Nothobranchius furzeri: one gene and its partners. The protein of the gene in region 3 interacts with the protein of the main gene of each other region in a pairwise test. Links are inferred from orthologs where the notes say so. Each region holds a gene or a part of one and is shown on either strand. Other genes may lie near its edges.

The links.
Region 1: the proteins of dusp12 (region 3) and ppp2r3b interact in binary tests that used the Homo sapiens proteins (3 or more experiments, as listed by UniProt). The two-hybrid records come from large-scale screens. The link is inferred for Nothobranchius furzeri from reciprocal best matches to the Homo sapiens genes DUSP12 and PPP2R3B.
Region 2: the proteins of dusp12 (region 3) and eif5 interact in binary tests that used the Homo sapiens proteins (3 or more experiments, as listed by UniProt). The two-hybrid records come from large-scale screens. The link is inferred for Nothobranchius furzeri from reciprocal best matches to the Homo sapiens genes DUSP12 and EIF5.

What each region holds. Positions count from the first base shown.
Region 1 is NC_091754.1:29,703,485-29,707,579, reverse strand, and holds the start of ppp2r3b (serine/threonine-protein phosphatase 2A regulatory subunit B'' subunit beta), read right to left. Parts: upstream 2,938-4,095; 5' UTR 2,792-2,937; coding exon 2,731-2,791; intron 2,457-2,730; coding exon 2,074-2,456; intron 1-2,073. UniProt on the Homo sapiens protein: The B regulatory subunit might modulate substrate selectivity and catalytic activity, and might also direct the localization of the catalytic enzyme to a particular subcellular compartment.
Region 2 is NC_091758.1:10,703,317-10,706,826, reverse strand, and holds the end of eif5 (eukaryotic translation initiation factor 5), read right to left. Parts: coding exon 3,481-3,510; intron 3,280-3,480; coding exon 3,118-3,279; intron 3,038-3,117; coding exon 2,876-3,037; intron 1,728-2,875; coding exon 1,563-1,727; intron 1,432-1,562; coding exon 1,291-1,431; intron 1,039-1,290; coding exon 940-1,038; 3' UTR 638-939; downstream 1-637.
Region 3 is NC_091751.1:58,772,308-58,776,619, forward strand, and holds the start of dusp12 (dual specificity protein phosphatase 12), read right to left. Parts: upstream 2,833-4,312; 5' UTR 2,769-2,832; exon of another isoform or gene 2,693-2,768; 5' UTR 2,600-2,692; intron 1-2,599. UniProt on the Homo sapiens protein: Dual specificity phosphatase; can dephosphorylate both phosphotyrosine and phosphoserine or phosphothreonine residues. Can dephosphorylate glucokinase (in vitro).

The sequences.
Region 1 (4,095 bases), on a different chromosome or scaffold from region 3:
ATAATTCTTGCTGTCAGTATTTGCAAGATATTGGTATTTAGGTCTGTACTGGTTAGACTTACATGAGTTAAACCAAGGTCTACAGCCCTTGGGTCATAGACTATGAGCTATAAGTATATTGGTCTTTTTATACTGGCAATCAGGAGTTATTTTAGTGATCATCTTGTTTCTTATTTTTGTCCTGATTGTGCCCTGAGCAATTTTATGACTGAATAAAAACAAATAAAATCAACATAAATTGAAAAATCGTCCTAAATAATCGTGATCTCAATTTCAGTCACCATAATCGTGATTATTATTTTTGCCATAATCGAGCAGCCCTAATTGAGATGAGCCCTAATGTTCTTTTTGCTTAACAGTGTTTTACGTCTTGGAAATCTGCCATGCAGACCATTTTTGCCCAGTCTCTTTGTCATGGTGGAGTCGTGAACAATGACCTTAATTGAGGCAAGTGAGGCCTACAGTTCTTTAGAAGTTGTCCTGGGGTCTTTAGTGACCTCTCGCATGAGTGGTCTCTGCGCTCTTGGGGTAATTTTGGCCGGCCGCCCACTCCTGGGAAGGTTCACCACTGTTCCATGTTGTTGCCATTTGTGGATAATGGCTCCCGCTGTGGTTCGCTGGAGTCCCAAATTTTTAGAAATGGCTTTATAACCTTTACCAGACTGATAGATCTCACTGACTTTGGTTCTCAAAAGTTCTTGAATTTCTCTGGATCTTGGCATGATGTCTAGCCTTTCAGGTGCTTTTGGTCTACTTCGCTGTGTCAGGCAGCTCATATTTAAGTGATTTCTTAATTGAAACAGCTGTGGCAGTAATCAAGCTTGGGGGTGGCTACAGAAATAGAACTCAGGTGTGAAACACCACAGTTGGGTTATATTTTAACAAGGGGGGCAATTGCTTTTTCACACAGGGCAATGTAGGTTTGGATTTTGTTCTCTCCCTAAATAATAAAAACCACCATTTCAAAGCTGCATTTTGTGTTTACTTGTGTTATCTTTGACTAATGGTTAAATGTGTTTGATGATCAGAAATATTTTGTGTGACAAAACATGCAAAAGAATAAGAAATCAGGAAGGGGGCAAATAGTTTTTCACAACGCTATACATTTCTATTATAACCTAAACTATCTACCTCTGGGCTGTTTTGTTACAAATGAGAGATTTATTACACAACCTACAAACATCACGAGTGCCAGAAAAAGGCTTGGCACAGACACTCCCCCCTCTCATACCACATTTCTTTGTGGGTGAGGTTTGAACACTAGGAACATATTTAATTAATACCTATTCAAGGCCTACAGACACATACACTTGACAGTTCTGGGAACCTCTTAATGGCATCATCCCTGTAAGGTCCTCAGCAGCCTCTTGTGGCCAGCCAGGGGAGGAAATAGATCCCAAAAAGATACAGCTGGTGTGCTGTACTCACAAATGTGGGAGCTTCCCCCCTCAAGAATGCATGTTTTGCAATGTAACTTGTACCATCACACACACAGAAACTATTCATTGGTTCACAAAAAAATATAAATAAAATAAAATAAAAAAAATCCCAGAAAAACTCCAGCTAGGAAGATTTTAATATACTAATTTCAGCTGTTAATGCCCAGGACGAGCTTTTGAGTTGTGATGTCAGACTGTTCATCATTACTAAAGTTATCCCTTTGTTTAAATGGTAGTGAAACTTCTAAAGAGCTGTAATATTCTAAAGAATTGGTCATTATTAAAGAACTATTAGGCAGTAATATTGTATTTTTACCGAAGATGTCTGGAATCACTGATTAAATGCTCAGCATTTTTCTTTAACTTGTCAAAAATATAACTACATGCTACTAAAAAAACATGATTTTTCATATATTTTATGTCACAAGCTCTTATTTACAAGTATCATGTGAAAACATTTACGTGATGTTGATATGAGCACCCTTATATGAGATCCCTGTGGTAGGATAACTTTAAAGCCAGTCAAACCATTTATTCTAAATTACAGTTTTAATAACAAAAAAATTATGTATGACTAAAACATGTTAGAAAAATTATATATGTATTTTTTAGAACTCATGCTTGAATCATTTACCTTTTGTGTGCTGACAGACCTCCTTAGTACCCTGCTATTGGGTCCAGTCACTCTGGTATTACTGCTACTGCGAGAGGGAAGCGTACTGTTGGGCTGGGTAGCGGACGGGGTACCGATGGGAGCAGGTTTTTTCTCTGCCCGGTTCTTCTGGGACGCCACATTGTTGTTTTCATTGAAACTCAAAGCCTTTTTGTCCTGGGCTTCACTGCCCACGTCAATATACTGTCCATTTTTGATTAAATCAAGATAATCCTTGAGGACCGCCTGGGTTTCAGGATCACTCAGCCAGTTCAGAAACAACTCGTCCACCTTTAGTTTAAGAACTGGTTGGAGTAGTTGTTGCGACGGCATCTTGCTAACTACTACTGCGTTGAGGTTGACACCTGTATGGGAATAAAGTAAAGTTAGCCATTTCAGTCAACACTCACTATTGAATCTAAGCGCGAACCATCAATTTTAGCTACGTAAACTTCTTTTACTGCGATTATTTACCCGCCATTTTAACGTTACTGTGATGCAAATAACTAAAAGTTAACATTTCATTACTTAGCATCACATCACCCTGCAAAAACACGCTGTTGTTGAAATCACTAGAACTACGACTGTTAGCTAGCATGGGCAAGCTAATGTTGCCTTCGTGATAAAACTATTACAAACCTCGCTGTGAGGGGACGACAGAGCCAAACACTGATAATTCATGACATCGTGGTTCCTTCATATGCGACGCTGCTGCATGTCTCCTTGAACTAGTAGGATAAACAAAATCAGATCTCTTATTAAATTGTCGATTTCTGACAGAGAATCTCAGTACTGTAAACAGAGCAGACAACTTTTTAAAATCCCGTTCCCCTTGGTGACAGCGTCGTGTTATCGCGAGATTATATGCAAACGCTCTTCTGAAAAGGGAGACTGGCGTCTCACTGCTGCTAACTTGATAGATTGACACCTCCAAAACACTTTAAGTGCAATTTAAACACATTTTTTGTTAATTCAGTGTGTGAAAATCTCACCAAAAGCCCTAAAACAAGATTCCAGCTACAATGTTTTGTCCAGGACTTTATAATATTTTGACTGAAAGCATTTCTTATAGATTTTCTTTCATAAAATCTGAATGTGTGTGTGTGTGTGATTGCACATTCTTAGACTGATTTACACGACCATGAATGTTAAACTCTGAAGATATAAAGGTAAAACAGAAAAAAAATCAAATACGTCCAACTCTATATCAGAAATAAATATGATATGATAAATATGATAAAAGAACCAGATTTTAATGGTACAAAAACAGTTTCCCTTGGAAATATTTTTAACGCTGCTAACAAAACCAACAATTTAATAACGGTTTGTTTCTGTAAACACAGTTTTGCTAGGTAATTACACTGCAAGCAGCACCACAATTGGATCCAAACTAATCTGTCCAACTTGGCAATGACATATGCAGCTGTAAATACTTGTTTTTATTAGAACTTTATACCTCACATCACAGCATGATGCATTCTTTATTTCATTTAAAGCTAAATTGGGCTGTTTGAGAAAGAGGTTAGCTCTGCTTTGTATTTATTTGACCAAATTTGACAGTTTTAGATGTTTTTCTTTTATTTATCTCCATCATTAAATACATTAGAGACACCCATCACTCCACCACTGCCTTGTTGTTAACAAGCACATTCACAGTGCCTCTGGCCTTCTTGTTAAGATTAACAGTGGTTCTATAGTTGTGAAAATTATTGACTGCGTTTTCCCTTATCTGTCCCTTGATAACGCGGGTAAATCCAATCTGAAGCATTCAAAGTTGTCTGAGGCACAACGTGTAATGAGAAATCTCTTTGTTCTGTGTAACAACTGGCCTAACATGCGTTTTAGAGCAAAATCAATACCCGAAATGAGGAGAGAAAAAGTGAAGGTCTAGAAACTTTAAACTTTGCAACTTTTCAAAGTGTAATTATAGTGTACAAATAGGATTTTACCCAAAGCGGTGTGCATGTTTTCTTTTTTTATGCCTTGAAGGACGTTTCAAAGGTT
Region 2 (3,510 bases), on a different chromosome or scaffold from region 3:
GCTCAGTGGGAGCAACTCCAGAGTGGTAGACAGTCCAACCCCTATCAAGGAAACTGTATCCGGAGCCAGAGCCATGCGTTGAGGTGAGTCCGACTAGATCTAGTCAGAACCTCTCAACCTCACACTAACTCAGGCTCCTTCCCCACCAGAGGTGACATTCCGTGTGCCAAGAGCCAGCTTCTGTAACGAGATCAGACCGCCAAGGTCTACTACACGTTACACACTGTACCTGACCCGTTTAGATCCTCCCACGAGTGGTGAGCCCATGTGAGGGGGGGACCCATGTTTCCCCTTCGGACTGTGCCCGGCCGGGCTCCATGGGTGAAAGCCAGGCGCTCGCCAACGTATTTAATTGATTCAGATCTAAAATGTCTTATTTTTGTGTTCAATTTCTTTTTTAGCAGCGTGGTTCAAAGCCGAGTGTCAGTGAAGATCGTAATGGCCACCGTTACTTCTGGTAACACTAGAACCAGTCAGGCTGACAGGGAAAGCGCCCGAGTTGTGAAGAGAAAAATGTCATTTTGCTGACAGCTAAATCATTTATGCTTTGGTTGTTTGAAACAGATAAAACTGCAAAGAAACACTAATAATTAATAGTTACTTAGACAATGGATAATAAATCATTCAGACCAATTAATTGAGGTGGATAGCAAAAAATCTTTATTGACAAAAAAAGCTACAAAAAAGGGGGAGATGGGGTAGAGTCACAAAGATTCATACACCTTTGAGTAAACTCCACACATCTAATTAAATGAATACAGATTAGAATGAGTTACTTTGCAGCAAATAAAACATTATATTATATCAAGCCATGAAGCGGGAGGGGGCGGCTGGCTAACTGTGGGTGGGAGTCGAAGGAAAAGCCAAGCATTTGATGTTGTACAGGGCATTGTGAGCCAAAACCACAACACAAGAGAAAAGCAGAAGCATCCAAATTTGTCAGATTGCATCAATGTCAATATCTTCTTCTTCCTTCTCAGGCGTGTCTGGTTTCACAGTCTCAACTTTGAGCTCGCGGGCAGAGGAAGAGTACACCACCTGAGGCACAAAACACCCACAACGTCGCATTTACCCAAGTCTGCAGATTCACATACAAAATCTTCACGACATGAGACTGCTGCGGACACGGCAGCAACCGTACACAGCCGAACGACCTTTAGAGAAAATTAGCTTAAGAAATAATGAAAATAAATCCATTAATTGTAAAAAATGACAGCGCTCCACAAATACAAACGACCGGCTTGTACTGTAATGTCTTTCACTTGCAAAAGCAAAAAGGAAACATTTTACCTCAACGTTCTCATCTTCTTCCTCCTTCTCTTCCTCACTGCCTTCACTCTCCTCCTCTGCCTCCTTGAGCCACTTGACAAAAGGAGCAGCCCTGGCGTGTATCTCTTTGGCAAGTTCCTTGGAGACATACTTCTTAGAAACCTGGTGGCACACAAGTACATATGTGGAAAACTTTAATAAAAACTTGAGGATCCAGTTCAGGTCATTTCCTTTGGGTCTCCATAAAACCAGCACAGGCTGACTAAAGACACAGCCAACACTCGCAGACTCACCCTCTCGGCCCAGGCAAATATGACGTCCTCCTCCAGCAGGTCCGCGTCGTACAAGTCCTTGAGGATGATGGCGACGCGTGGCAGCAGCTGGACCTGGTGGAGCTTCACCAGACACTCAAAGCCTCCCAACAGATACTTCTGGGCTTTTTTGTTGTTGTGACAGAACTGTGGGGGGAATTTAACCGCCAGTCATTTAAAAAATCTCCATATAGGACTGTTCATTTCATCTTTTAAAGTCAACGATTGTTGAAACAATAAGGACAACGTTGATTTTATGCCGATAGGATTTCATTTGACTAAACCACTTCTCTCTCCATTTCAACACATTTTCCCATCCATCCCTTCTCTTCTGCCTGTGGCTTAGATGCCCAGACTTAGTTATATAGCACTCATCACAGACGTAGAATCACTAAGTGCTTCACAAAGATCAAAACAAAATAATACATAATGATCTCAAAACAGAAGTAGATTAACATCTGAAAAAAGTAAAACAAATGAAAGATTTTGAGTTAAAAATAAGAAAAGGATTTATGTAAAAGCAGCTTTAAAGGGTAGCAATCTCCCCAGCTACTTGGTCCAGCTCTTTCGTCTTCACCTTGCCACATGGGGAATCCCAAAGCCTTCCCTGGCCAGGTGAGACGTAGTCCCTCCAGCGTGTCCTGGGTCTCGTGCCAGTTGGATGTGCCCGGGAAACCTCACCAGGGAGGCGTCCTAATCAGACGCCCGAGCCACCTCAGCTTGCTCCTCTCGATTTGGAGGAGCAGCGGGTCTACTCCGAGCCCCTCCCGGATGACTGAGCTTCTCACTTTAAGGGAGAGCTCAGCCATTCTGCGGAGAAAACTCATTTTGGCCACTTGTATCTGCGATCTCATTCCTATGGTCACTACCCAAAGCTCGTGACCGTAGGTGAGGGTAGGAACGTAGATCGACCGGTAAATCGAGATCTTTGCCTTCTGACTCAGCTCTCTCTTCACCACGACAGACCGGTACAACGCCCGCATCACTGCAGATGCAGCACCAATCCGCCTATCGATCTCACGCTCCAGTTTTCCCTCACTCGTGAACAAGACCCCGAGATACTTAAACTCCTCCACTTGGGGCAGGACCTCATCCCTGACCCGGAGAAGGCTTCAACCGCAAAAACCAAAGTAAAGCAGCTGCACTTTCCAACACAAGCCTCCAGGTGTTCCTCATCAGTTCGTCCACCCTAAACTAACTCTTAGGGTCAAGGTTTTACGTTCATGTCTACAACGAGCAGTCAGTCGTGTAAACATATGAAGTCGTGTTTGGCTGTGGAAGCGTTTAGAACATACTCTCAGGAAGTGGCGTTTGTACTTCTTGATCTGGTCCCGGATGTTCTCGTTGAAGAGGAGCTCACTGAGGATGAGGGGGCCCATGGCCTTCACATCCAGACGCTCCGCCTCCGCCAAGACTTCCTTATCAGCCGCATCGATGGTTCCACTTTCCTTCTTATGCTGGGGTTACATTAAGGAAACAAAAACAAATGTTAATTGCGTTTTTATATCTACTAAGTCCAAGCTGAACAGAGTCTCACTTTCACAAAGCTGTAGAAGAGGTTGACCCTCTCCTCCAGAGGCTTCTCCAGGTCTTCACTGAGCGTGAGGTTCTTGGCATGGTCACTGATCTCCTCCATTCGACGCCTTTGAGCCTCCTCAGTTGTCTCTTCTGCCCAGTCTTCATCATCATCGTCTCTATCCTGAACACCAGAAGGGCACGCAGATGTCCGTTTATACAAAACTCATGGAAAATTTTTAATTTGTTACCTTAAAATCAGAAAAAGAGCCTAACTGGATGTAAATGTTGTAGTTTTTATTTTTGGACAAAGTTTGGGGGTTTGTTTGTGGATGAATCCATCTAGCTGAATGCCAAATGTGTGCATGACGAACCAAAAACATACCACAGCTTCAGGGGCATCAATGTTGTCTTG
Region 3 (4,312 bases):
AATTTCTTTCAACTTGGGTGCAATTGGCCATTCAAGATAGCTGCAATATGGCTTTATTAATGTAGTTTCCTTTCCTGTGATTTTTATTTTCTTTGATTTGTCAATATCATAGAATAACTATTTTTAACATACCGTAAATCCTCTAATACAGGCCCGGGCCTGTATTTGACTCAAGCTCATCAAGCTCCAGGCCTTTATTGGAAGGAGGGCCAGAATTAGAGGCAGGCCTCTATTTCTACTTGAGCAAAATGAACTAATGGTTCGCTGGAGTTTTTGACAGTTAAAATTGCGCCCACATTTTCAAAGTTAAACACATTTCTTTTAACAACGGTAGTTTCTGCTTCAGCCATCCCCCCCCTCCCCTTGCGCAGCGGCCGCAAACTCACTGATGCGCCTGCAGCCTCTTGGAGTTCCTGCTGCTCTAAACATTAAAATAATTATTTCATTTTCTGTTCCTCACTTCTGATTACCTTCAATGGTGTCTGTTTGTTGCAACCACCAGGTACAAAAATTAACTTGTTTTTATTTGACCACTTTTCTGTCCTGTCTGTTTATTATCTTCCTGCATCTCCTCTCAATCCTAAAGAAAAACTGCTACCTGGGTTCATATATATTCACCCTATGAGTTACCTTTGAACTGCAAGTCTAAAAGATCTACCGACCGCAAAAACAGCGGAGTGCTCGCTGCTTGGTGGCCGCATCAGTGATCGGTGCATCACCGGATGACAAGGTAATGCGCCCCGCTCCACAGTGAAACACATCAGACACAAATAAAAGACAGAAAACATTAAAGGAAATGAACCAACATGAACGATCGCGTGTCAAATTAGTTTTTGAGGTGGCGACACCTGATTTGATAATGTTACTGTGGCCGTGCTCAGGACGCAGATCTACCAACCGCAAAAACAGCGGAGTGCTCGCTGCTTGGTGGCCGCATCAGTGATCGGTGCGTCACCGGATGACAAGGTGATGCGCCCCGCTCCACAGCGAAGCGTATCAGGCGCAAATAAAAGACATGTCAGTGTCGCGTGTCAGTACCGACGCTCTGGCACAGCGCGTTGCCCCCCCCCCCCCCCCCCCTGAGCGCAGGAGCTTGTCACCTGCTGACAGCAGGCTGCTGTCTTTTCCAAGGGCTGCATCTTGCCGGTCATTATCACGTGACAGCGACTAGTCGATGACAGGCATAAAAAGTCACTATAGTGAAGTTGACTATTGCTCCCCAGTGTTCTGCAGCGCACGTTCTCTTTGAACTTGATATTGTAATGACCTGGCTGGGGTTGTAAGCCAGGTGCATTCTGGGTATTGTGTTATATGTGTTTCCTATCATTCTGCTAGTTCCTATGTGTTGATTTGCGTGTTGTGTGAGTGTTATGCTAATGTAAGCCACAGGGAAGGTGATGTGTGTTCTGTGGAGCGGGTTGAATTAGCATGGTTAACTGACACCGTGACTCTTGTGTGGTAGGAGCGTGATAAGAGGATTGGTGTCTGTAGCGTTACAAACTGTTGAAGAAAAATCCCAATAAAGGTCTGTGTGAACCTCTGCTTCCTCCTGCTGGTTGATCTGGGGACTATAAACCTGCCGCTGAGACGCTCGGGGTCGCTACAATATCAAATTTTCGCCTCCTCGTCATCTCTGCACGGTTAAAGTTACCCTCGCGGTCTATCACTGGCAAATCAAAAGTGAGACGATGACACAACCGCCCCCCGTACTTGCTTGTTACCACATTCCACCCGGCCACAATAAGAGACCGGCCATTATTCACCTCCGCCGACTTCGACACCGGCCAAAATATGAGACCCGGCCGTTCATTGAATACAGGCCTGTATTAGAGGATTTACGGCACTTCCAAGTACTTTGTTATTACATTTTTGTTCACCTAATTTAAATTTGCCAATTTTCAACTCAGGAAGTTTAATCACCACATTTGAATTAAGCAAGGTATTTTTCCAATTGGTCGGGTTCTCTCGAGGGATCATGGGAAACGTAGTAACACCATATTTCGACAGAAATTCTATTAAATAGCAGTTTTTAATCAATGAAGTCTTATTTATTTGACAGTTTATCAATAAATGACGTACTTGATGGTTTTTCCTCAATTAATTTATGTCAGATATAATTATTTAAGCACATTTTAATGGAATGATATTTTATATAAAAACAGAATTCTCCTAAACCTTGGTTACATATAGCACAGTATCAGTTATTTTTCACTACTGTTGGCCAAAAAAATAAGAGCGTTTGTTAAGGGTTTTAACATTTGTGTAGATACGCTATGAGCACACATAAACATTTATTCAAGAAAAACATTATTGAAAAACACAAAAGTATACATTTCACTTCCTAAAACCACTCAAATTATTTCAGGGCAAAAAAATAAAATTTGCAGGCTGGGTGCTTCATCATAACCTTATTAATCTAACTAACATTCATTCAGTCATGACAACTTGCCAAAATGTCGACCTTCATTTGAAATATTGCTGAAACACTTATAATTACAAGTGTACCTTTAATTTATTATTAGGGTTTGCTAGATTGTTTTAAAAACTTAATTAATCTTTAATAATTCAAAAAAAAAAAGAAAAAACTGACTGAACTCACCCAGTTTTCACAATGTGTCAAGAACCCACGAAGTCACGCAGTCACGCGGCCAGTTAGCTAACCTCGTTCTTCCAGCTTCAGCTGTTTACAGTTCTTAATAATAAAAAAAAGCATCAACAATTACTGTTCAGCGCAGTAAAATACTAAAAAAAATACAAGATCGACGTACAACTGCGGTCCTGTGGTTTTTGGTTCGTCTTTAAAATGGTGTCGTACGGAAACATGGTTAGATTCTTCTGTTCCAGCCTTGAAAAACATAACAAAAAATCTCCTTTAGTTACGTTTAAAAACTTTTCATTTCTGAAAATATTTAAAGATTTCAATCCATAAATAATTGAACTCGTTTAGATTCTTGAACCCAGCTAGTTGCATAACATTTTTTCTTTATCTCAGTATTAAATATTTATAAGAAATATGATGCCTTATGATGATTACTAGTTGAGAAGATGAAATGACTAAAAAAACGAGTAAATAGGATTTTATATATCTGCCAATCAGGAAATCAGAAAAAAAATTAATTTCACACAGCAACATATTAAACTAACAAATTTTTAAGACTGCTTGATTTCACGATGCTTTTGATTTTATTTCTATCTGTTTGTATCCTTTCACGTGGCATTTGATTGCTTTATGAGGTATTGTTCACATTTTAAAAATTGTACAGGGCTTTGATCAATGAAAGTTGTTTTAAACATGTTAATAAAATAAGTGATTGAAACCTGATTGGAAGATTCCATCATGCTAAAACGTAAAATCTTAAAAACAGGAACAAGTTACAGATGCCACAATATGCTTATTCAATTATGCTGAAGGTTACATTTAACCAAAAATATTCAATATAAACAAAAAGAAGTCATTCTCACCACATTAGAAATATAAAACCATGAAAGTCTCTATAAAGTTATAATAATGAAATAAAGAAAACAAGAGAGGAAATAGAGTAAAATACCAAAGACGTGAGGTAATGTGAGTCTGTAGTCCACACTGACCACACACAGTAAAGCTGAATAAAGTAAATGATGATCTTGTTTTCTCTCATGAACAGTCTGACTTTGTCGGCTGCATTAAAAGAGCAACAATTAAAGCAACAGTTGAAAGAATCTCTGTTCGTCTTTCTGTCATGTTTGTAGTTTCCAGACTCTCTTTAAACACATCATGTCTGTCTGGTGTGTGTGTGTGTGTGTGTGTGTGTGTGTGTGTGTGTGTGTGTGTGTGTGTGTGTGTGTGTGTGTGTGTGTGTGTGTGTGTGTGTGTGTGTGTGTGTGTGTGTGTGTGTGTGTGTGTGTGGCGTTCTGAATGGCCCGCCAGTGTTTCGGCCCACTGTCTGGTCACTGTGTGGGGTTCTAATAAAGCTTTATGAGTTTCTTTAATCTAACCATCTGACCAGTACAACACCCTGCTGGGACTACTCCCCTCTCATTAGAGGGCTGCTGAACAAACATAATTGACTGTTAGAAAATAGGCAAATATAAACAACACAGAGTTCCAGCAGGTGAATGGGGACATAACTGGGTGTGTTGGTGTGTGTTTGTTCAGTTGTTCTACCAGATGGTCTGTAAGACTTTCAGCAAACCATTTTCAGGCTGTTAGACGACGGGTTTATGTAACTGGGATGCTGTCTGTTGGGTTGTGGTTACATTACGACATTTGTTTACCACTCAAACAGCTCAGTGACCTGCTGAGTACCACAGTATGGATTTTACTCAAAGTGTA